Linked DNA regions of Neodiprion lecontei. The protein of the gene in region 2 interacts with the protein of the main gene of each other region in a biochemical or structural test. Links are inferred from orthologs where the notes say so. Each region holds a gene or a part of one and is shown on either strand. Other genes may lie near its edges.

Region 1 (7,956 bases), on a different chromosome or scaffold from region 2:
TTTAACAGATGCTTTATGAAAGAATATTTTTCGAATTTGAAAAATTTCTAAGCCAAACTAACTCATATGTTAAGAATATTTGTCTTGTCAATTTTTTGAATTTTGTTAACTTGACATATGGCTTTATACGAAAGAACACAAAAGTGTTGATGCATACGGCCACTGAATTGAAATCCTTGACTTCCTGTAGCTAAAATCCAGGTTCCGGTCACGAATCCCTCTTTCTTCAAGCCAAACAGCAGCAAGATGGTTTGTGGATTTCTTACTGCGGTTATCCGTATTTATCCAAAGAATCCATTTTCATACATAATTTTACAAATAAAATACACAAATTCAGGTTAATTTTACGTATTGCCGGTCTGTAAAATCATACCCATAATCTAGACTTGCTTCTTTCTTTTAACCTGAATAAAACATTATTACATTGGCGGTTTCCATGTGGAATTGTTGTTTAGGTGTTCTAAGCGTGACGTTATGTGAGTGTTCTATTGATATTTCAGGGTAAGGTCAAGTGCTCCGAGCTGAGGAGGAAAGACAAGAAGGAGTTGCTCAAACAGCTCGATGAGCTCAAAACTGAATTGACGAATTTGAGAGTTGCCAAAGTGACAGGAGGTGCCGCTTCCAAACTCTCAAAAATGTAAGCTGTTCTAACCCCTTATAGTTTAATCTTTCGCTCTGAATCACTTATGTTATATTTATGTGATAAGTAGTAGCCGGTTTACTGTTATTGTCAAATGTAATGAATGACTAAAGCTGCCTAATTTACAATGAATTTCTCTTTACCTTCAGTCGCGTCGTTCGCAAAGCTATTGCTCGTGTGTACATTGTTATGCACCAGTATCAAAAGGAGAATTTACGACGCTTGTTCAAGAATAAGAAGTACAAGCCCTTAGACTTGAGGCCAAAGAAGACCAGAGCAATTCGCAGGGCCTTGACTCCTTACCAGGCGAGTCGTAAGACTCTGAAAGAAATTCGCAAGCGATCTGCATTCCCCATCAGGAAATATGCCGTGAAAGCTTAAACACAGTTCAATTTCTTACTCAAAAAATTAAAACAAAATTTATCAATAAAACTATTCTATGGTAGTTTATTTAACTTGTGTATATCTCATTTCAATTCCTTTCCTTTGTAAATTTATTCATCAACAAGACCAGCGGCTATTTTTAATGCTCACATTTACTTGCAACCCGTTTATGTTAAATAATCAAAATATTAATGAACTTTTTGTTGTTGAAAGCCTAGAAATAATTATATATGAGAGTAAATTTAAAAAAAATTTAATTCATAACTTTTAGTCTGCCGATAAGTTGGCAAACAAGCAAGTTAGTGAACAAAGGAAAACTGAAAAGAAAGTACTACATTGTATAAATTTATGAAATACTTCAACATTTTATGTACAATTTTGACATGTTCTGTTTAGGAATATGTTTATAGTAATCATAATAATTGAGAGTTGAATAATTTTAAGGCAATATAAGTTAATGACTGGTTTTAAGGTTAAATTGTAATCAAGTTTCCTGAACACCATGGGCATGGATGGAAGTTAGGTTCCAAGGCACACGTATCCTTGCATTCTTTAATTTCCGTCAGAAGATCAAGAATTTGAGACGTAGTTTTATCTTTGACTGCAACTACTTCCGATTGACAGGATGTCTTGTTTTCCACGTGTTTGCTTGCTTCTAGACCATCTTCTAGAAGACACATGTTAAAAATGAAACAATGTATAAAAAAAAAAAAAAAATTCGAGAAAACCAACAAACATTTAGAATCCGTAATCGAAATAGCAATGTGGACTGAATACAGGAATTAATATATACCGTTTGTACTATCCGATAATGCAGATGTAGTGGTAGACGTAGTTTTCTCTTTAATTAATTCAGCTACAAGCATTTTGAGTTTATGCAGCTGTTCCTGTTGTGTGTTTCGTTGTTCTGTCAACTGGCGGAATGCTTCCTCCTTTTCTTTAGCCCTTTCTTGAAGGACACCACGCTGCTTTTGATACAATGTAACATATTCGCCTGAAAGAGATGTTTAATTATACATCCTGGTTTTATTACACCTGAAATATAACGGTTCAGTGTGGCTACGCTAACCTATAGTTTCGGTTTCACTTTGAAGCTGCAAAACGAGATGTTCCAATCTTTGTTTTTCGTCTGAGAGTTCAGCAACACGTTCCATAGTATGTTTAAATCGTTCCTCCAACTTTTTCACAGCTTCGGGCGAAACTGACATCATTGCTTGTTGTTCGCTAATTGGCGGGGCCGTGTCACCAATACTATACGACTCATTGTCAGTCTGTGTTGTTGCTGTTGATAATTTTAGTTTTTCCACGTCATTCAATGCTTGCAAGTTACACTCACCATTGGGCTGTATAATGTTTTGATTTTGAACGGTTGAATCATTCAACATCGTCCCAGCATTCAATTCGCTGATCAATTGTTGATTTTCTTTCATTAAAACTTCGATCCGTTCCTAAATTCCAATGTTTGTATTGGTAACAAATTGATTTTGTATACAAGCACATTTCATGGTTCCAATTAGTCACATTTACCTGCGCATTGTGAAGTTCTTGCTGCAAGGTACTAGCCTGATTAGACTGAGCTTGATAGTGTTGCATTTGATCTGCAATTTGAGCCATGTGTAATTTTTCTTTCTCTAACTCAGCCATGAGTAAATCCTTTTCCTGCATTTCATCTTTCAATTTCTGTACTTCATTTTCAGTGTCATTCAACCGAGCATTCAATTTTCTTCCAATCGACCTCTCTCCTTGTAACTGCTCCGTCAAATCAAGTTTTGTGTTGCTCTATAGTGAAAAAATTGTTTTCACAAACTGTGCTTCTTTGACAATGTACTAAATAATTATTCTAAATTAACTTACAAGTTGTACGAAAGCATCTTGCATTTCACTCAACTGCTGTTTCAACTGTTGATTTTGAGAGACAGCCCGAGCTGCCGCTAATCTTTCACCTTCTAGAGCAGAGACTAAACGGGACGCCTCAGCATTGCTTGCACGCATTTCTTGCAACTCTTCCATTTCTTGCTTGAGTGCATCGATATCTGAATCCTAGATGGAAGAAAACAAAGTAAAATATTCAATTTCATTCTAGAGGACTATTGTAGTTCAGCCAGAAAGTTAAATCACCTTTTCATGAAGTGTTGCTCGAAGACTATCCCGTTCTAAAGTGAGTTGATCAATATTTTTGACTAACTCATCAATTCGCTCTTTATTGTCATTGATAACAGGAGGTGTAGATTCAGGTATTTCTTTCTGACTTTGTATTTGGCGTTCTAGATCGGACAACCGTTGAATAAGGCTGTGCTCTCGACTACTTATTTCTGCATTCTCCTTTGTAGTTTGCTCGAGCTAAAAAATAATTAATAAATGAATAAGATGCAACAGAAAAATATTTGCAGTAATCAGCGTTGCAATTTAAATATAATTTAAGAACAGCAATCAAAATTGCAAATTCGTGTTGGCTTACCTTCAGAGCAAGAGTGGTAACTTGGTTGTTCAGTTGTTGAACATAATTTTGGTAATGGTTACTAGCTTCGTCACGTTCACTACTGACAGCTTTAAGAGTTTCCATTAATTGGCTCAACTGCTGTTCCAGTGCGGCTACTACATGGTGTTGCTCACTGATACCTTGGGTTTCTTGTGTCGTAGAAGTCATCTGTAATTAGGTATTAGATTGGAATATGGCATGCTGGACACTTAATTTCCACTACATTTTCGGGTCAATTTTAGGTCTGATCATAGAGTTCCGAATAGAGATTATAATAAACTGTAAGTACCTGTTGTATTCGGAGTTCATTCAAGGACAGTAAGGCAGTTTTTTCTTTCAATTCTTGTTGAATGTTAGTTAACTCAGTATTTTTAACATTTAATTTCTGCCTTAATTCAGCGGTCTCTAATTCCAAGTCGTCTTTTTCTTGTCTTAGAATATAAAAACGTCCAATAAAGATCCAATGATATGTCATAAAAGACTAATAATGAGGGCCCATGACTGCGCAAACTTACTTCACTTGAGAATACTTCGCCTCTAAAGAGTAGAAGCTAGATTGAAGCTGGTTATTCACTTTTCCGACATCTTCGCTACTATTTTTCACAGAATTCAGTTCCCTTTCTAAATCAGAGACTTGGAGTTGGACCGATTTTAATTTTCCATTTAATTCTTCGACTTCAGCTGATAAAAAGTAATTGATTATCAATCTGTTATACTGTATAAAATTTTTACTTTTAGCGTGTAATACCAAGTCTATATTAACAAAATATAAGTAATTTTACCAATTTTTTGCTTGGTAGTTGTTTGACTTTGAACGAGGGCAGCAGTAAGCTCAGCTTTTTCTCCTACAAGAATGCCAGTTGTTTGTGCATGAAGTTGTAATTGCTCTTTGAGTGGATTCAATTCGTGATAAAGCTTTGCTTCAAATTCTGTATCCTTTGTAGTCATTATCATTTCTAGTTCTGACACTCTCGTCCTCTGTGAATATAAAAAAAATTCATTGAAATTGTATAATTTTTTAATATGAAGATTTTAGCTGGTCAATTGGTCTGAACCAATGATTTCACCAAACTTACATATTGGCTGACTTCAAGATGTAATCGGTTAACAAGTTCTTTTTGTTCTTGCAAGCAGAATGCCAAGAATTGATTTCTCTTTTCCAAATCAGAGGTAAGTTCTTGTGGCACGTCTTTACTCTCCATATCACTTGACAATATGTTTGTGACGGCAGATGTCATCTGTAGTAGATATTCTTTCTGCAACGCCTGAGATCCGACCAATGATTCATACTCAGTATGTAAACCACTGCGATTATTAGTTGACTCTGCATGAGCATTTACATTGTGTGTCTCGTTTTTTAATAAAATGTCTTGCTCTAAATCAATTTCATCTGTTTTATTCGTTATATTTTGAGAGGTAAAATAATTCTCAACATTAATCAGATTGTCATTAATTTGATGTTTATTAGAAACATCATCTGTCAGATTTGTGAAATTAGATATAATACTGGAACCTTCCGACAGTTTTTCTTGAACAGTGAAATCAACAGTGTCTTGAAAAACGCTAGTAGGATTTGAAGAATTCACCAGCTTTGTAGCAGCAGAAGTGATATCACCATTGGAATTGAATTCCAAAAAATCATGCGATTCTGAAGTTTGCTGAGGGGCTTCAGAAACTTGGCTGTCTATTGATGGTGTTTGAGTCTCTTTTATTGGGGACCCTATTTTCCGGTAGTTGTAATTATTATCAGAGTTATAAAGAGTATTGTCGATCTGTACAAACATAAAGTAAACCCCATGTTAATGGTTAGAGATCAAACTTTTTAATGAAGGTATTACCTTCGTTCAGATTAAATAAGGACAACGGAAATTCTCTTCACCTGTGACGGAGTAGATTCTTCTGTATTTTCGTTTACATCTTTTGAAGTATCATCTGCCATGTGACTTCTTTTACTCATTTGGAATTCCTTGAGCTATGATACAGAAATATCCATTATAGTATGTGATACTAATTCATGTGAGTTGTGTGTGTACATTACAATTTTCGATTTTGAAAATATTACACAAAGTAATTACAACGAACATTTGATTAGAAATTATCGGTAATGAATAATAGCGAAAAGTTCGCAGAAAAGATAACTATATTTTCTCTGCTCTCACCCTTTTTCTGGCTGCTAATAGTTTTTCAGATTTTTTCATTTTTGAGGGTTCGTTTTTGACCTGTACGAAGAGCAAACAGTGTACTTGGTGCAGAATCCACGCGCAATATTTATTCTATTAATTATTTACAATACATAGAGCAAAATATTACAATATGACAGAACATTGTGAGGTTACGCTCTACGTGCCACTTCACCACTCACACACATTGTCCTGATATGCAGGTGTATTAAGTCATTTGTGTTTGTGCACCATAGCTAATAGAGATGGACTACTACCTCACAGTGAGCCTTGATTAAAAAGAGAAAGCTATGGCAGAGAGGAAGATCCTCTCTACCTATGAGGACGATGACGTTGACGAAAACGAGAAACACGATACGAAATGCGGAGCATAAAAGGCAGCACTGCTGTTTCGCTAATGGTTTAGTTTAGAATCTTATGGCAAATTCAACTTCACAAGTGCGTTTACGTGTGGTTTCACTGGTTTTCTTGCCTGTTTATTGGATGAATTCTAGGAAATTTGGACTCGGTGCACACTTTTTCTGTAGTTGAATTCGCACTACAGAAATTCCCTACTGTTACCGACTCAGAGAATGAGACCACTGCTTGGTAATTCTATCTCTTTCTTTTTGTCGTTGATTACGAATTCTCAAGTCAACGTTTCCATATAGGTATGTACACTTAATGGTTAAACTAGAACAATTGCATATGAATTTTTCATCCTATTTCTACGTCGAATTGTTGTTTCAAATCAAGTAATTGATTGTGTCGACATGAAACCTACTGTTGTGGCCGATGAAATGTTCCCCGAAGGCGCTGGTCCATATATGGATCTTGAAGAGGTTCCGTTAAACATTCTAAAACATAAATTACATACGTTCAAATCGTAAACCATCGTGCCAAAGCTGTCAAACGTGACTTAATTTCTGGGCTGACGATCACTTAGATTGTATATCTGCATTGCATTGATTTAGAATTGCTCGTCACTGACCAATACCCTCACACCGTCAGCCAGACAAACAAGATCAAATTGCTCGGTAGTAAAAAAAATTGTATACTCTGCAAGTTATTGATGTTTTTTTTTTTTCATTATTTAGGCTGGTGGATCCAGTGGATTGTTGATGGATCTTGCTGCTAATGAAAAAGCGGTGCATGCTGACTTTTTCAATGGTAAGAATTTGTTTTGTATCAAATAATGATGAAGATATATTTTACTCTGTGCCAAAAAGGTTTATTCTTTTATAAAAGCGCTGCAGGAAATGTGCATTGATAAAAACACTATATTTATTTTAGATTTCGATGATTTGTTCGATGATGAGGATCTGAACTGATGAACACTGTGATCAACAAAGGTCTTAAATTCTTTCAAACTTGATAAGTTCGAGTAATACCGATATAATGATTTGTGTTACAAAAAATGAAACACTCAATGCTGAATAAACTGTTCTTATAAAAATATTTGTTTCATCATTGTTAGATAACTCTGTTGAATATTCATTTCACTTCGCGAGAATTATTATGAACTTAATGAAGCAAAATATCACGAACTGCTTTACAACTCAGATTTTAGGATGCTGTGACAATCTGAGCAATGTATCTATATAGCACACACATGTTAACCAGAAGTAGCTAATAATAGAAAGAACCTAGTTAACTAAAGATGAAACTAATTTGTTTAAATGGCATTGAAAACTATTTACATCTAGCCAGAATATAATGCCTCATATATCAATTGAAAATTAAAAATTGCATTAGCCTAAATAATGGCAAAAATTCAGACAAGCTTAAGTATAGCATGAACATAGTAATTTAATAACGACCAATTAATATAAATGAGAGGTCCAAATTTATTTACAATCATTCAATTAATCCAGCTATTTGTGAAATGTTGTAATAATTATTGTGTACAAGATACACTTTTCTGACATATGTCCGAAGATGCTGCTTTACAGACCCTATCCTCATGATACATATTCAGTATCAGATCAGTTACTGTCAGTAACACATGTTTGTAGGTAGCTGACCTCTAAAATCATTTACAAACCTAATCATAGATTGCAATTATTATATATTATTCAAAAATATTTTTTCGATCCAAAAACAAAATTCGCATTGAGCCATGTTAAACATTTACAAGATGCTCATTAATGGAACGAAGAGTTGAAATATTTCGGAAATAAGAGAAATTACGTAAATACCTATTTCTAAATAATCGTATCACACTTAATCCTGTTAATAATAACAATTTCTAAACTGAAGAATATTAATTATTAATAAGTAGCTAATGATTACTT
Region 2 (8,880 bases):
GAACCAGCAAATTATTTCGCCCAGGCTCTTGAACTGGCTAAGGTACGCTAATTATTCAGTTTTACACTTAAAAAAGAAATGACAAAATGTGAGAAAAAAGGTTAAAATGAGTGGATTATTTTCAGAAAACTGGAAGTTTCGCATCAGATCCACTTGAACTAAAGCAGAAGACATTAGATGAATTCTTTATGACAGATGTTGTGTCGCGTGCATCACCAACAATGGCTAAATGCGTGCAAGCTGTTATTAAGCAACGTCAGGCACAGTTATAAACTTAGCTTGACGTATTTATGTATATAGTATAGGATTCTGTTATAATAAAATTAATTATCATGTGAATTGTCTCATTATTACTGTCAACCACATGCAAGAAATAGAGAACAACATCATCAACATAAATTCCGACATGTTTGTAACAGAATTCTACACCAGAGATTCTAATAGTTGAGATATTTATATCATAGACTCGTAAGTTATTGTTATGCACTTAATTTTTTTTGTCAATATACACCCAAATAGAAATGGAACTCTACTGCATGTATCCAAGATTGCTTTCACCGTAAAAACTTGTTTGACGTGTTCGGAATGAAGACTATGTGAGACTTTGTTTCCAAATCATGTAAAACCAAATTTAGCAAGCATGAAAAGTTTTGAAAAAAGGAATGCTTCTTCCATTAGGCTATTTCCTCATGAGGGTGTGTCTAGAACATGGAAACCTTAGTAAATGAATATGTGTATAGCGGCCTTGTTCAATATAAGATTTGTCAAAATGAATAAACAACATAAAGAAGTTCTCTTTCCAATAATAAGTTCCAAACATTTGCTTCATAAATCCCGTGCAATAGCTACCAAATTTCTAACAACTGAACGAACCAGAATAATTCAATGAATTTGATGTGTAATTGTTTATACGAGACTACAAGTACACAATAAATATTTAATTTGTAAAGATAGGAATAGAATAACGTGACCAATTAACAAATATAATTAATAAAAAATACTTTGATCAAGGTAATTCTGATTAAATATAGTTTTAAATGGAGAAGAGATGATGCCATGAATAATGAATAATTCTTTCATTTTGGATCTAAAATTTATTCCCGTGATTGAGTTAAACATTCTTCGGTAATATTTTAATTGCTGGATTCTGGCTGCTCGTCGGTATCGAGTTCTCCTGAACTTTCGTCTGATTCGATCTGGAAAAAGATGTTAAACAATTGTAATAAAAATACCACAACTGATTGATATATTTCCTCAAGAAGTAACGGAAGTTGTATTTCAAACTTACTTTTTCACCTAGCGCAACCAGTTTCTCTTTATATTGCATCAGTTTGCTATCTTGTTCTGTTAAAAGTTCTAACAAATTTTCCTGATCCTTTTTCATTTTTTCAAGTTCCAATGTTTTTTCCTTCAACAATTTTTCATATTCACTGTTGTTTGAATTACATTCTGTTCGTTCTTGTTTTTGCAAATTCAACGTGCATTCGGCTAGCCTGTTTTCCAAATCTCGAACCGTATTTTTATATTTCTCCAATTCTACATTTGTAAGATCAATAGTATCTACAGATGGCACAAGCTCCTTGGCTTCTGTTAAGTTTATTTGAGCTGCACGTAGAACTAAATTCTGGTCTCTCAAGTGACTGATGGAAGTCTGTAGCTCGTATACTTGGGTCTGCAAATGAGAGTAAAATGTACAAGAAGTAATGATTATGCTGCATAAAATTCATATATATATATATATACACACACACCTGCATTCATTGAATATCTACATTAGGGTGGTTCAAAAAAAATTGCGTTTTTTTCGCTCTTACCCCCTCAAATGCTAGTATTTGATAGAAAAAAGATCTTCCCAAAAGATGAACTCTCTAGCTCAATACTAATAGGCCACTATTTTAATTTATATTTCCCATTCAATTAACATGGGAAAATTTCACTGTTCGTTAAAAATTAAAATACTCGTAAACTATCCAATATTTTTTAAACTTATGCATAGATCCTTGAAGCTGGTTTTCAAGCTTTTCAAACCTCTATAAGAAAACATAGTTATCATCATTACAACACACATTACAGTCATCTGAAAACATCGATTTTGACTAAAATAGAATTTTCTCTTTTTGCACCACCCTAATGCATCAGCAACCAATACGTACCTCCAAATCCCTTTTTTCTTTAGCCAAAGTTTCGTTCGTCTGATTAAGTCTGTGGATTTGTGCATCCTGCTCCCTGATAAGCTCTTTATATTGTGACACCAGAGCAGAATCAGATGGCGACAATGTCGACGTAGGATCCTTGCCCTCCTGTGGATTACTTCCATCCTGTACTGACTTCACTACTACACCTATGTAGATTACACAAAATTAGATATCGTTTTACATCCGTCATTTATAAACAAAGTACTACGTGGAATCATATTACCTTCCAAAATTTTCAGCAATCTACAAAACTCGTGGTCCAGAAGCAAATCAGACGGATCTTTTGTTGAAGGCTGAGGATGTTTAAGAGTTCTGGAGTAAATTTCATGTCGGGTGATTCCTCCGATAGCATCCTGAAATCTTTCCAATCCAAGTCGATTTTCTATCAAATGGCATAACTTTTCCTAAAACATGCAAGTATACTTACTTCCTATCAATTATCACTCAACTGTCAAAGTGCATTCGCAAAAGTAGTGTGAAATGTGGTCAATATTTCAAACCTTCTACAGTACCTTTGTATAATTAGGCACACTGTCATCATTAAAGTGTACGCATAAGCCTAGTAATAAAGCGCACATACTTTGAAGCAGTGTCTCTTGCAAATCGTCAGTATCTTCTTGAGAAGACAGCAGTGCGGTCAAATAAGCGACTGAAGATTCTATAGTTAAGAATGCTTTTACAGCAGGTGGGCAATGCGACACCCATCTGCAAAGTAGCATTAAAAGCCCCAGTTTACATTGTGTCTTATTTCCTTGTTGAAGAAGCATGACACATTGTTGCATTAATGTAACAGGCGGCTTGCCAATATTCGTAGCAAGAAGTACCCTTAACAGTTGCTCTTTTTGGATCGAATTGTCGATTAGGGCATGAGACAGAGCCACTGCCGAAAACCAATTTGATAAGGGATCCAACGAAAATAGGCCACCACACAATAGTTGTCCTTTGAGAAATGGATGACAGATTACCCAAAAAATGTATAGTCAAACGAATTATGACAATATTGATTGGAATATACATTTTCCATGTATTGTAACTGGATTTATACCTGTTGTGAGAGATGCTGCTTCGTTACCCTGTGGTAAGAGTGTCTGGATAAGTTGCGTCTGTCCTACTTCATTTTTATATAGAAAACATTGGAAACAATAAAGCACGGAACAGCGAAGAACAAATGGTTGCTTTTCATTCACCATAGACATTAGCAGAACAACTATAGCAGGCCTGTGGAAAATAGAAAATTGAACAGACTACTGATGGAAAAAAGCATATTTCGATTAGGTATCACTCTTGAGTAGTGTATGTTTGAATACTATTCTGTGACTACTTGACAAGATATGGAATACATTGAGAAAAAACATATTATGGAGGAATCATTATCTTTCAATTTATTATCACACTTTAATTTCAGAGATTAACTTCGTATGTAATTATGAGGTGCTTACCTAGGAGGACTGCTAGGGGCCATAACGCTAGCTAAAAATTCCTGATTGCTTGTATTCCCTCTGATAACTTCAGCAACTGCACTGATAGTTTCTGTCAACACATCAGCAGGAACTCCACTGGCCATTAATATATCACACAAAGCTTGAAGTAAACCACATGCCCTCATCGTCCGTTGACAAGCGGCTGTTGCCTTTAAACATGGTGAATAGTTATAACAATAACACGATTTAACCATTCATTGACAATTTTATGAAATTGTATCATTTGAAGTAATCCTCTGGCACGTGAATAATATTATCAGAGTTATGGAAGAGAAACCAACAATGAAGTACGATATGACGTCACAGTAGCAGAGGACTATTAGAAAGCGATTAGATAAAAAGAATTTGGGAAATCGGTTGATGCAGAAAATATTTGTTTTCAGGCAATAATTAACAGTGAGTGAAAAGGTCTACGTATGATGCTCAATCATAATCCAATTCTTAATCTCCTGTTTCTTAGTATTCTCCAAGAACTTGATATTTCTTACAGAAAAAATAATGCGAAGTTACTAGGTTTTTTAGCCATAACTGATGAACGTACTGTCTCCTCGCCTTGAAACTAGCCACAATCGTTTCATGTTAAAATTATACGTCAACATGGTTGTAATTATAGTGCTTTTTGAATAATTGATCAATTTTGGCAAGAAACATAATGAAGAGATACGAGATGTTTTTTTCGAAAAACATCGAGCACCTAAACTTTAATTAAGGCACGTAATTACTCTAAAGAACATCTAATTATGTCATAACTCATTGACAAAGTTTTGATGTGGTTCTACTAAAGATTACCCACATCTTTTTGGTTCAATTCTATCCAAAATTACCTGTGCTGGACCACCGGGAGCAACTAATGCCCTAATAACTTGTACCATGCAATGCATATTGCAAACTTTTTGAGGACTCCAGCCACTTAATGGATTCTCATCAGTTTCCGGTGGCAAATCAAACATAGGTGTCAGTCTCTGTATATAGCTTCCTATTGGAACAGTAATAATCTCATTAAAAAATCTGAAGATAAGAGAAGTCTTTTTCTTTGTAGACTGGCAGAAAAATCTCAGAAACTGATTGAAAACCTTATGAGTTACAGTAAGTTGCAACACCTTACCTTCCTTGAAAAAGTTTTGATTACTGATGTTTCCTCGTAGTAGATTTAACATTAGCAACAAGCAATCTTGGACCACAATACCACCGTCTGCTGAACCTTCTTGGGATATCACATCGAAAATACGATCGAATGCATTCTCGAAGGCAACAATCTTTTGGATATTTGCATTACCTTTAGTCAATTGTATGAGCAGTAATAGTGCCTGTGAATTGAAAGAAGTTTTGATTGCAGGAGTTAATGATATTAGTATACAAGGTGACTCAGGACTATAGGCCCGTAGAATATCAATGTGATTATTTTGAAAATCTGCGTCTGAAACGATTTTTATTTCTCTAGTCATGCTGGATGCTGCCAGATTAGCCAATTTGGCTGTAATTCGTTAAAGACAAATTTCCTATCAAAGGTGAAAAACGTTTTAATTGCAGATTTTCAGGAGGAATACATTGATAGCCTATGGGACGATAGTCTTGTGTCACTGTGTAAACATAATGATGTAGCTTGTGCAAATCTGAATATCAGAATAATAAAAGTACACTTACATCATTGCGTATCACCTCTCTGCTGTCACTGAGGAGATCCATTAACTTTGAAACTCCCAATGGACTGACAAGAATTATTTCTTGAATGTCCTTTGGTCGATTACCTAATAAATGTGTCAGGAGCTTGAGGGCTGGCCACCTAACTCTAAAGTCGAATTCCTCTAAAAATGCTAAAACTTGAGTAGTGCTGTCTGATTGTTTGATAAATATTTCTGTAAATTGTTCTCCGATTTTGTTCTTGGGCCCATAATTTTCAACTGAAAATCGAATTGTATAAAATAAAGAAGTATAGTTACATAAATTTGCACATAATTTCACTAGATAAACATTTATTTAGTTTCATCTATTACCTTCAGCCTCAAATGTTTCAGGACTTGTAATATTGCACAAAGTATCCATTGCTAAACCAACAATCTCACAATCTGTTCTATCCATCTCAAGCACTTGCCTAAGTGCATCCATAGCCTGTGTACCAACCTCCAGACGATATGTTCTTGAAAGTGCTTTCAATGCACGGCACGCATCTCTTCGGTCGTCCAGCAAACTTGACGATTGCAAGCGATCAACTAAACGTTCTACCTGTGGTCAGAAGTCAAATGAAAACTTCTTCGTAGTCAATGGAAAAAATACAATTCACTTTTATTGACAACTTGAATATCGCTAATGGGCAATCCGTATGAAGGTTTATGACCTAGGCTTGATATGAACGTTATTACTCATTTTGGAATTTTCATTATTCAGCTATATATGTTATAAGTGGACAGAAGTTTGAGGTTGTGATATGTATTGACAGACACATTTAGATAACAGAAATTACATTAAATGTGTCGATTTCCAGCTGCACTTTCGTTACGAAACTTCAGATAAAAGTGAAACATATCAACTAATTGAGCTGGGAAATTCTCAAACGATAAAAATGACTGTCGAAGGTGGTTGGATGTCATGAGTCGTACTGCAACGAATATCAGACAGATGTTACAACAGCTTTTCAAATATTCTTCTTTCATGATGTTCAATTGAAGCTCAAGATCTTATCACGTGGACCAGGAGGAAAATTACATGGAAACCGGGTGACTCGAAAAACGACAAGATTATGAATGAACAAATGTGACAATTTGACAGCACATATTGGCTAAGTATTTTGTGGCAACGACGCTGAAAAATATTTATAATATACTTACGGTGTCAGCACCGGACGGCTGGTTCCCGGGCGGAGGTGCACCGAGAACAGATTTTAGCCCACTTTTGAAATATTCCATGTTTTTTTAAATTTGCACTGTTCAATGTAAACTACACGTCACACAGCGCAGACATTTTGGAAAATAGATAGCGGCTCTCAGGGTGTACAAGACGGTATGTACTCTGTAGTATCGGCTGTAATTGAGTAGTTCAAGAACTAGCCTATCAATAGGTGGCACCCCGTGAATCTTCCAGAGTTGTTCACAGTCGGTCTGGGGCCAAAATTGTTTACTTGGAATCAACAAAATAATCTATGTGAACAAGCCGCCGACCTCATCTTCGGTCTTGCGTTGATGAAAGCTATGTATCGATAGAATTAGAGGATTTGAAAAGAAGTCGTTCCGCGCGCGTCGCTTCTCGAGGAAATAAATAAGTCATATATTTTACACATCTTTTGCTGATAGAGTAGTTCGCATCACTGCAGACAAGGATAAGGAAAAAAATGTTTTACAACTTGCCGTGCTTAAATGCAAAGAACTACTTCGTTATTCTGTAATAGAATATTCGTTTCAAATCAAATTCGCAATATTTGAAACTTCAGAATTTCGTAAAAAATATTATTACCATGACCACGAATGAGTTCGGCTGGCCTGACTAGTTCGCAACGACTTCAAAGGATGTCGCGATGAACTGGTATTACTTTCAATGTCACCTCATCAGCTGTATCCACAGCTGGTCTCCCGGTTCCCCAGCTGATGCACAGCACCGATGACATTCAAAGGACTTTTGCATGTCCGATTCTGCCTCAAAGCTTGTTAATTATTCGGTTCGACTGGTTGATTTCGCCTAGAATAAATTCAAGAAATAACCGTACTCCGCACAATCAGTTCTCGAAAAATATTAACGATTACAAACGAGAAACTTGAACGGTGTGACCATTGATTTTATTGCCATAAAATGAGAAGGTTGACAACGGTACGAAGTATCTGTTCATGTGTGGTTGATGAAAAATTTTTTCTCTTTTAAAAATGCGGATTTGCATAGCTTTGCACTTTACATTTGTTTACAAGTCTGTACTCATCGCATTCTAACTATTGACCAATGAATTTTTATTATAAAAAACAAAAGTCGCTAATTGATTTCTGTCTGAGTAATATGAGGTAAAAGCCCATATTTGTTTTCCTAACTATTAAGCCATTTATAGACGACAGCTAATCGAACTCATGAATATTATTTTTTTCACCATTACAGACGATTTGCTCAATCTCTATTAATTACGTAGCCGATGCTCCACGTGCTCATTTAGTCACGTAGTTTGATGGAACCGCCTGAGTTCCCGGTAATCAATTTTTTATATTCTTTTGTTTATGCATGGTATGGCCAACGTACAAAAAGCAAAGAAAAAGTGCAAATGCTAATCCGATCCACGCGTTTGGACTCTGCGTCCTTTTTGGCATTCTTAATACCATTTATTCGTAATTTTGTCATCGGTATCAACTGCTGCAGCTATAAATACACCCTTGTATGTATATACTGTACAGATAAACAGAAGGTACAAGAAACGAGCAATCTATGTATTTTCCGAATAAATGGTGGCACGTGTACAAAACGATCGCTGAAACTGTTATTTACGTACACTTGTCAAGGCGAATATCTGCATGTGTGCACGTAGTCAGCTTGGTCACACTTGACAGAGTGACACAACAATGACGTTTACAACAAACGCTTGACAGCAACTCTATGCACATGATATGTAACATACATATACATATAATCCCGAAAACTGGCTGCAAGACCGGCAGCAAATGCGTTACACATCGTGCGAAGCATTAGAAACCAGAGTCTAGTCTTCTAATATTATACATATAGTTACAGTTAGCAGTGGTTCTTGCTTCTCAGGTTTTCACCCCACTGATACCTTTGCATCATTTCAGGCAGTCCCTGACCTCACCTTGCGTGGATCTATGTGACCTCTTGTTCAGAAAATAAGAGAAAAATGAAACAACAAAAAATAAGATGCCTCATGCCTAGGTATCGTAAGGATAGAGATTTGATAGATTGATTGCCTGCAGGCTTTACTTTCAAAATATATTTTCTGCGGCTGTTTATAAGTACAATCCATTTAACTATAATATGTTCCAGAAAATTCGTAATGAAGAATAAATGACTGCTCGTTTGTAAAAATACATGTGTCTACATATTAGGTATACATAATGAAATAAATATCTATGAAGTTGTATGATTAGGCGCATGACGTCACACGACGTTGCGTATCATTCGGTATTCGTAGAAATTAAAACCGCTACCTCCGACGATATTATCAAAATTGTTGCAATATAGTGGAACGTTCACGTTGCTTTGCGTGAGTCACCTCCTATAAG
Region 3 (8,050 bases), on a different chromosome or scaffold from region 2:
GTCTAATCTAAAAAGTCTTTGAAATATTAGTGACCAACAGATGAAATATTTTGCTAGGTAGTATTTACTTTTATTGAGAATTCAGCTTTTTTCAAATGTATTTGAAAGTCATATAAAAAATTTAAATTTGTGAAATATTGAATATAGTTCCTTCTTAATTTGGAACTATTATAACTAGTAACAAGCATCAGGATCAGGTAAAAGTTGATCGTATTTTATAATGTAAAAGCTTGTCACTGATACACAGGGTACAGCTACATATTATGTTTATTTAATGAAAACTCCCACGCAGGCATGGAGACGAATGGAGAGACAGCATCATCCCCTCAATTATTTTTGGGAGCAGAGACATCAAGTTCTCCTATATTGTTTACTGGTTCCTCAGGTATTCCTCCCCCTATACCCCCATTCCCACCGTACCCTCCGTATCCCGTTATACCGGGACCGCCACATTCTGGAGGGGGACCAATGTACGATATTAGTAGGAGGCCTCCACCATTAGGAGGACGTCTGTCTTCACCACCCCCAATACCTCTTCCTCATCCACCTGGTAGATACGAAGATGCCAGTTCTCCACCACCACCGCTTTCACCTCCGTTACATCCCTCTTACAACCATCGATCACCGCCACCATTTAGCAACGAACATGCCCATATGTATCATCATGGTCCGCCTCCTCCATTTTTGCCACCTTTGGGAACTTTGCATTCATGGGGGGATGATATATTACCACCCACACGAAATCCGGTTTTCCATCCCCATCAACGTGAGCAGCGTGTACGGAATCACAAAGGTTTGTTTCAAAAATCGCATAAAAGCTTTCACACAAAATACTCACATCACCTCACCTCCGGCTTTAGGGAAACTGGAATGATTCTTATTTCCGTCATGTTGTAATCGGTTGGATTTTTATATTTGTGCACGCAAGGACGCAAGCGCTTCTCTAAAGTAAGGCAGTTTTGGAGTACAATGGAAGGAAATAATTCAAAATAGAATCTGTGGCAGGTTTATTTTAGATCTTTACTTTATGTACTTTTTTTCTAGCAGTTGGTAATTGTGTAATCCAGTTATTGAGCAGAATATATTTATTCATATAGCACCACGTCATAGAGTAGAATGCTCAATTACACGTCTTTATCATCGATCTTCAGTTGTGAAACATTAACTACTTTACACATATTGAATCAGTACTATTTTAACATTACAGCTTTTCTTTGTACACTAATGGCACTTACTTATTTAATTTTTCTGTTTTTTTATTGGCTTTGTGTTTATATGTATACGTATTAGTGGTTAATTGTAAAGCCAACTGCTTACACTTGTCCTAAGGACCACGCATAGCACTTAATGCAAGGCACAGACTCACCTTAGTTTGCTTAACCATCCCATTTCATAATTGGTTTTCAGTAGAGTCAATGTTTAAAAATGTTGCCTGAACGGAAAAATCAAAGCATTTGTCAAGTAGAATCAATTTTTGACACTTGGTTAAGCTTTCTTGCTTGCAGACTGTTATTTGAAATTCCAAAACATAACGCACTAACTTGATTACTTGATTCACCAGATCCATACCATCACTAATACGCTACCAAGCAAATTAGAATCAAATATATTATATATACGCATGTGCATCTGAATTATTGTTTATGTATAAATTGTTATTTTATTTGTAGGTTCGTTACATTCTTCTGGAGACTCCCTGGACAAATCAAATCATACTGGAAAAGCCTAAGCCTTTTGTCTTATCTGGAACCAGAAATACGTTTAATATTTCATTCCATAGATTTCTTCCCGTTTAATAAAATGATGCTACTTCAAATTTGAATTATGCATTATCAATACTTTGAAGAACTTATCCGTAATTTGGATGTGGCTATGTTCGAAAATTTTCGTCTGAGTATGATGAAATTCGACTGTAGCAAATTCGTACTTGCTAATGTGTAGATACCAAATCACTTCATGTAAGAGTTTTTGTGGAAATACTAAATAGCTTACACTACATGGTTTCAGAAAATGTTATAGTCGAACGTTTCAAAGGAAAGCAGGTATACATATTTATATATATGCGTAGAGATATGAACATTTGTATAAAAATAAAATGTGATTATTGAAATCATGTTGAAAAAAATTTGTAATATTTAGTATAACAATCACACTGTAAAATGTATATTTATGATTTTAAAGAATCAAAATAAATTGTAATTTATTATTATTCGCGAGTTATGGCTTCGAATTTGACTGAAATCCGGGACAATTATGCTCATAAAACGATCATTTATTAAATGCATTTTTTAAATTTACCGTCAATATTTTACAAATTAACATGTGGATTTAATTTGCCTAGTCGAGTTTAAATCTATAAAAAATAATTTCGTGAAAGTTACTGTTACATCTCTATAAAACTTCAATCTTGATCGTCTATTGTCAGAAAAACAAGTTTGTCAATTCCAAGTTTGAGTAAAATAAGTAATAGCTGCTGAGTGAAATTACTACAGTACTGAGGAATGTCATAAAGTGCGTTAACTTTATACATAATGTAGTATTTTAATTTTATTTTTCTATCAACCTTTGCCTAAACAACTTTATACTTTATACAAATATAACCAGCCTATTCATTCGCGTAAACCACAATTTAGTGATACAATAGTATAAGTTGCCAATATCAGAATTGCAGTTACGCAGTTTGCGAAATGATGGCCCACTTCATTCCTTACATTGATATTGTAAAAGCCAAGATCGATTGTGTTGACGTATGAAATTGTACTGCCACTCCTTTAGAATATACATATAAGGCACCCAGCTAGGCAAGAATAGATACTATTTTGTGTGTAATATTTTGTTGCGATTAACTGTTGCTACTTGTTATATCCATAATGGGACACATGACTCGCAAGTAATCGTATACGAATTGTGGTTAAGTGTCAAGGGCAGTCTTATGACTATACCAGTTCACACAATTGATCAAGGCCTCAATAACTTGTATTTCACTGTACACAATGATTAGGTGGAGATGCATAAAAATTCAATTGATGGATTGGCCGTGTTAAGCGACATTGATTCAAAATTAATGTAGATAAATCGATATTGCGAAAATATTTCAGCATTAGAAGCTCGAATATTCTTACTAGGTGATTACGGTAAAACTTTAATATTAGCAACTAAACCGTACAAATATAGTTTTTCTAAGATAATACAATTCAATTAACTATCATGTGATTATTTAATTGAATATTGTCGTAATTATCACTATGTACGGTATAGTTTGATAATATACATATGAATGCAAATACTCTGTTATATTTATAAAATATTAAAAATAGCTAATTTCCCGTAAACGGAACAGTTGTGAATATACAATTTCGATGCTTATGGTACAATATCCACACTGAACCTACTTTATAAAAAAAAAGTTATTCCCGCGTCAGTTAAACAGATATTTTTTTTAATAAGTTCTTAATACAAGTAAATGGTCAAATAATATACATAATTATAATAGTATATCGTTTTGACGGATTTTTGCCCTATGCTACAAAGACAACGAAGAATATAAAGAAGAATATAAGAACAGCAAAAATTTTTATCATCAGCCACCGATTGTTCGTGACTGATTGGAAGTATTTTAAAATTTCACCATGCGCAGCCTCTACGTTTAACTCGGTATCTTGTATGTTGCTGTCTATCCTGAAATTGAACAAACAAAATATCGTAAGATTACAATAATGAAAAATTTGTAGGAATAATGTTCAACTCTAGCGCTATCATACCTTTCAACCATTTCTTCCTGTTCTTTGACCATGTGAGCCAGTTGTTGAAAGATTCCTCCAAGTTCAACAATTGTAGATTCAATATTCTGCATAGCATCTGATCTCGACTGTACATAAGTATCCTGACGAACAAATTCAATTTGAGTATGTCTGTTATTCTAATTACTGATAAGAAGCTCAATTGATTACTCACTGTTTCGTCGTAGAGGACTGCTTGACGCTGCATTACTTGCTGTCCCATTGCGGGTTCCAAGTCGATGCTAACAGAGGAAGAATTTGCTTGTTCTTGAAGAAGCAAGGAACCTTGACGCCCTGATACTGCACTAGGAGGTAACGACGAAGATACCGATCCTTGTGTAAACTGTTCCCTTCGGCATTGTTGTTGTTTCAAGTTCTACACAAGTTTGTTTCAAGTTAGTGGAAAACTATTATTATGTTTTCATGTATACATGGCTGGTAGTTATTGAATTATATCAGTAAAATCAGAATGTAATATTTCAACTACACAAATGTAATAAGCAGAAATGATAGGAGGCTCAAATGAATTTTATATTCAAAGTTACAGCATAGAATAAAAAAAAAAGAAGATAAACCATTAAACTAAGAAGTTGAAATAATCAGAGTTTGGACATCCATAATCTAGATATGAAGTTTTATCCATTTGTTTGAAACTATGAAGTCTATAACGGCATTTATAACATGTTATACTTACTTCTGTCCTCACTTCAAGAACGTTTTTGAAGTGATTAGACATGTTGGCTAATTTTGATTGCAGAGCGACGACTACAGAAGAGGAGTGAGAGGCAAGGTGATGGCCACGTGTCGTCCCAAGACTCTCCCGCTGTTGTCTACCTACTTCTTGCAATTTTGCTATTTGCTGATTCAAACTATTCAAATCCCCTTTTATGATGTAAGTCAATTCTTGGATTTCTGATGGTCTATCGTCAAACAACGATTTCTTCTTTGCCACTACAATAACAAGAAACATCATGGACGTTGTAGACGAATATTGAATTATTTTTAAACCTTACAACATACAAGGAAAAATTCATTGAAACAAATTTCAGTTTCTTCTTTGCAGTAAAATTCTTAAACTCGTGTCATTTCATTTAAATTTTCAATAACTGTTTGCAGCTACTTAAAATTTCAAGGATAGCTAGGATTTAGAAGATTGTTTTCATTCGTGTGAAAAGTGAAAGTAACAAATATACCAATGAATATTAATTGAACATCATCTTACGCAACGCAAGTTTTTCCAGTTTGGTATAAGTGCTAGCGATATTCTTTCCAATATTCTTAGCAATCATCATAAAATTGGAATAACTCTGTATTTGACGAGCCTGTCTAGGATCTCTCATAACAGCGGCTCGCGCCACTGTCCTTCCCTGCATCGTGCGAATCGCATTCGCAAACTCTTTGGTCCTGTCTCGCGAAGTCATTGTCACTAAGTTAGCTTCTTGCTGTTTATTGTTGATATCTAATTGTTGAGAAACAACTCTATCATTGTAGTATTGATGTCCAAAATCACGATTTTGATATGCACTGTTGGAGGTTGTGATCATTGGATCAATTTCGTGTTCGGAGCCACCTCGTCGTCTACGCGCTGGCATTGCATCCTCAACTTTCAACAAATATACTATGTATTATCACAGGCAACACTTCACGCGATTAACTACGTCAAGTATAATATAATATAATTTTCACCCAACAGATTGGAAATTGCTGAACCACATGACAGCTCACAGCTTTGAGCCACGGGCAATGTTCACGCTCATTAAAGATGATACGCGTTAGCCTGTCACATCAGGCTATCTTACTTTTAATTCCACGGCTTGAGGAGACTAGGATGTTTTGGTGTTCCCAAAGCAACAGTGTCGTACTGTCGCGGCTGAAATCAGCATGTATATTACACGTTATGATACGTTACTTAAGTCGCGTGTAACATACATAGCTTAATGACGACTTACCCGGATAGCTCATGATTTGCAGTGTTTATTTTTATAATCGTTACTTCAACTGTTTGGAGCTGCTCGATACTGTTCTACAAGTCTTATGGTTTCATCTCTTTCTTTTAACCCAAATGAGAGAAAGACAGGAAAAATTAGAATCCTTTTCGTTCGAAAGATTTTCGAACACATCCACCGGTCTACCTTACTAAGCGCTACGTCACTTAAAGTAAAATCAAGCAAATGGCGCAGCAAGACGGGGCTCAGCGGAGTATTTCTTCGTGATGGAAATGGAAGTGGAAAAAATAGAAACAGCCGAATGTGTTTCGCAAGTTCAGTTAGCTTCTATCCAGGAGTGTCGTATTTGTTTAAAAAATTGCAACCAGTTTTGGGAATTATTCCAAAATGATGAGGATATTCCAAGAAAAATCATGGCGTTTGCAGCTATACAGGTTAGTTTTTGGGCATTTTCAACCGTATCATCACTGTTATATTACGATCATCAACATGTTTTATTTTTCCAATTCATATTTGCCGTCAGAACTAATTTTCGATCAGTTGGTAACAATAAACGTCGCTTATTCAACCACCCAGACTGCATTTGAAATATAAACAATTCTTTGTATTTTGTTTGTTACACTACTACTATCATTACTTCACACTCCTTAACAATTCAATTTACAAATTATTGGCAATGTATTTTTAAACATTTTTACAGGTAGAACACGGCGACGGTCTCCCAAGTGTTATTTGTTTTTCATGTCGTCAGCTATTGGATATGTCTTATGATTTCAAATGTCAGGTTGAAAAATCTGATGCTGCTTTACGTAAAATATTGCTATCGAATGTAAAAGTAAACGGAGATGCAGCTAAGGAGTTATTATCACAATCGATCAATGATGTTATCACGGAAGCCATTGCTGACGAAATTCCTAATCAGCAAACAGGAATAAAGGAATTGGAAATGCAGAGTGTATCAAAATCACAAGCTGCACAAGAGATGAAGCGTGTAGTATTGACTAATTTTGATGATAAACAAAGTACAGTAGCTTTTGAAATCAGTGAGGAGTGCATGAGTGGTAACGAGTCTTCACAAGAGGAGGAAATGCAGGACAAAAGCCTGAGCGATGAATCAATTGATAAGCAAATAGAGAAAGATGACGATTTCAGCCAGCGGGAGATAATATCTGCTTTGGAGAGTACAGAGATATTGCTGGATGACCAGGGTGTTACAGTAGGTAAATTAATTGATTCGACAGATCAAAATATTGAACCAGAACCCATTAAACAAGAGGATATGCCATTGTCAGAGGAATGTGAATTGTTAGAAGGAGAGAGGAACAATCAGGATGAAATTATTTTTCATGATGATCTCAAGTTTGAATTAAAAAATAGTTTACTTTCTGAAGGGGAAGACGAAGCTGATGTTTCGTCTGAATCGGGTAAATTAAAACCCAACAATTGTCAAATTTTTAATGAAGAAATGAATGATAGTGACGAAGAGAAACCATTGATCACGAGAACCAGCAGACGAAAATGTCCTCACTGTATCAAGAGCTTTGCCACAAATCTAGCTTTGCAACGACACATGACCATTCACAAGCACAAAACTAAATTGAGATATGTTTGCTACTTGTGTGACAAACAATTTTCTACTGTTGCAAAGTTGAAGAATCATGTGTCAGATAATCATGATTCTTTGAAAAATGATAACAGAGTTGATATTGATAATAACTGTGGTGCAATAGATACTGATAGAAAAGGGGAAAAGTTAGAGAAAGACATTGACATTTCGATATACAAACAGAAAACAGATAAAAAAAATTATAAAATGAAATGCAAAGTCTGTGCGAAACAGTTCACCTATCAAAAATCATTTCTTTCCCACATTAAGACTCACCCTGAATATGAAAAATGTGAAAATTCAGATAATCATTCCATGCCGCTGACAACGATAGAAGAATCGCTGGAGCATCAAACTGATTCGTCTCATTCCAAAATAAACGAATCCGACGACGACGATTTACCTCTCGAAGGTCTACAGTGCACTCAATGTGGTAAACTTTTTGCAACAAAAGGAAACCTGAAAAGGCATATATCAACCCACAGTGGTCTTAGATTCAATTGTTCAACATGTGGAAAGGAATTCTCTAGATTAGATAAACTCAAAGATCATGAGCAGTCCAAACACAAAGCAGAAATATTTGGGGCATCTGATGATGAAGATGAGGATACAGATAACGAAAGTAGACCAAATGAAGGTGCCGAATCCAAAAGGAAGGTGAGATATTCTTTGCATTTAGTATTGCGAATTCATAAATTTTAGTTGTCCGATAGTTTTTA

What was found.
Region 1: the proteins of general vesicular transport factor p115 (region 2) and golgin subfamily A member 2 form a complex in vitro, tested with the Homo sapiens proteins (2 studies listed by BioGRID). The link is inferred for Neodiprion lecontei from reciprocal best matches to the Homo sapiens genes USO1 and GOLGA2.
Region 3: the proteins of general vesicular transport factor p115 (region 2) and syntaxin-5 form a complex in vitro, tested with the Homo sapiens proteins (2 studies listed by BioGRID). The link is inferred for Neodiprion lecontei from reciprocal best matches to the Homo sapiens genes USO1 and STX5.

What each region holds. Positions count from the first base shown.
Region 1 is NC_060261.1:34,114,189-34,122,144, reverse strand, and holds golgin subfamily A member 2, read right to left. Parts: upstream 6,110-7,956; 5' UTR 5,702-6,109; coding exon 5,663-5,701; intron 5,476-5,662; coding exon 5,383-5,475; intron 5,276-5,382; coding exon 4,580-5,275; intron 4,482-4,579; coding exon 4,286-4,481; intron 4,185-4,285; coding exon 4,019-4,184; intron 3,935-4,018; coding exon 3,793-3,934; intron 3,678-3,792; coding exon 3,483-3,677; intron 3,365-3,482; coding exon 3,143-3,364; intron 3,065-3,142; coding exon 2,879-3,064; intron 2,804-2,878; coding exon 2,552-2,803; intron 2,473-2,551; coding exon 2,094-2,472; intron 2,019-2,093; coding exon 1,818-2,018; intron 1,692-1,817; coding exon 1,498-1,691; 3' UTR 1,163-1,497; downstream 1-1,162. Other genes in the region: 60S ribosomal protein L35, read left to right, coding at 247-249, 501-637, 790-1,021; COP9 signalosome complex subunit 9, read left to right, coding at 6,436-6,504, 6,760-6,832, 6,956-6,993. UniProt on the Homo sapiens protein: Peripheral membrane component of the cis-Golgi stack that acts as a membrane skeleton that maintains the structure of the Golgi apparatus, and as a vesicle thether that facilitates vesicle fusion to the Golgi membrane.
Region 2 is NC_060260.1:30,779,513-30,788,392, forward strand, and holds general vesicular transport factor p115, read right to left. Parts: upstream 6,656-8,880; 5' UTR 6,580-6,655; coding exon 6,502-6,579; intron 5,900-6,501; coding exon 5,671-5,899; intron 5,578-5,670; coding exon 5,321-5,577; intron 4,984-5,320; coding exon 4,782-4,983; intron 4,653-4,781; coding exon 4,501-4,652; intron 3,826-4,500; coding exon 3,635-3,825; intron 3,414-3,634; coding exon 3,241-3,413; intron 3,136-3,240; coding exon 2,708-3,135; intron 2,600-2,707; coding exon 2,419-2,599; intron 2,342-2,418; coding exon 2,154-2,341; intron 1,673-2,153; coding exon 1,285-1,672; intron 1,197-1,284; coding exon 988-1,196; 3' UTR 507-987; downstream 1-506. Other genes in the region: NADH-ubiquinone oxidoreductase 75 kDa subunit, mitochondrial, read left to right, coding at 1-42, 126-272. UniProt on the Homo sapiens protein: General vesicular transport factor required for intercisternal transport in the Golgi stack; it is required for transcytotic fusion and/or subsequent binding of the vesicles to the target membrane.
Region 3 is NC_060262.1:35,647,717-35,655,766, reverse strand, and holds syntaxin-5, read right to left. Parts: upstream 5,518-8,050; 5' UTR 5,372-5,517; coding exon 5,002-5,371; intron 4,731-5,001; coding exon 4,474-4,730; intron 4,156-4,473; coding exon 3,955-4,155; intron 3,884-3,954; coding exon 3,762-3,883; intron 3,679-3,761; coding exon 3,519-3,678; 3' UTR 697-3,518; downstream 1-696. Other genes in the region: zinc finger protein 502, read left to right, coding at 5,992-6,159, 6,426-7,988. UniProt on the Homo sapiens protein: Mediates endoplasmic reticulum to Golgi transport.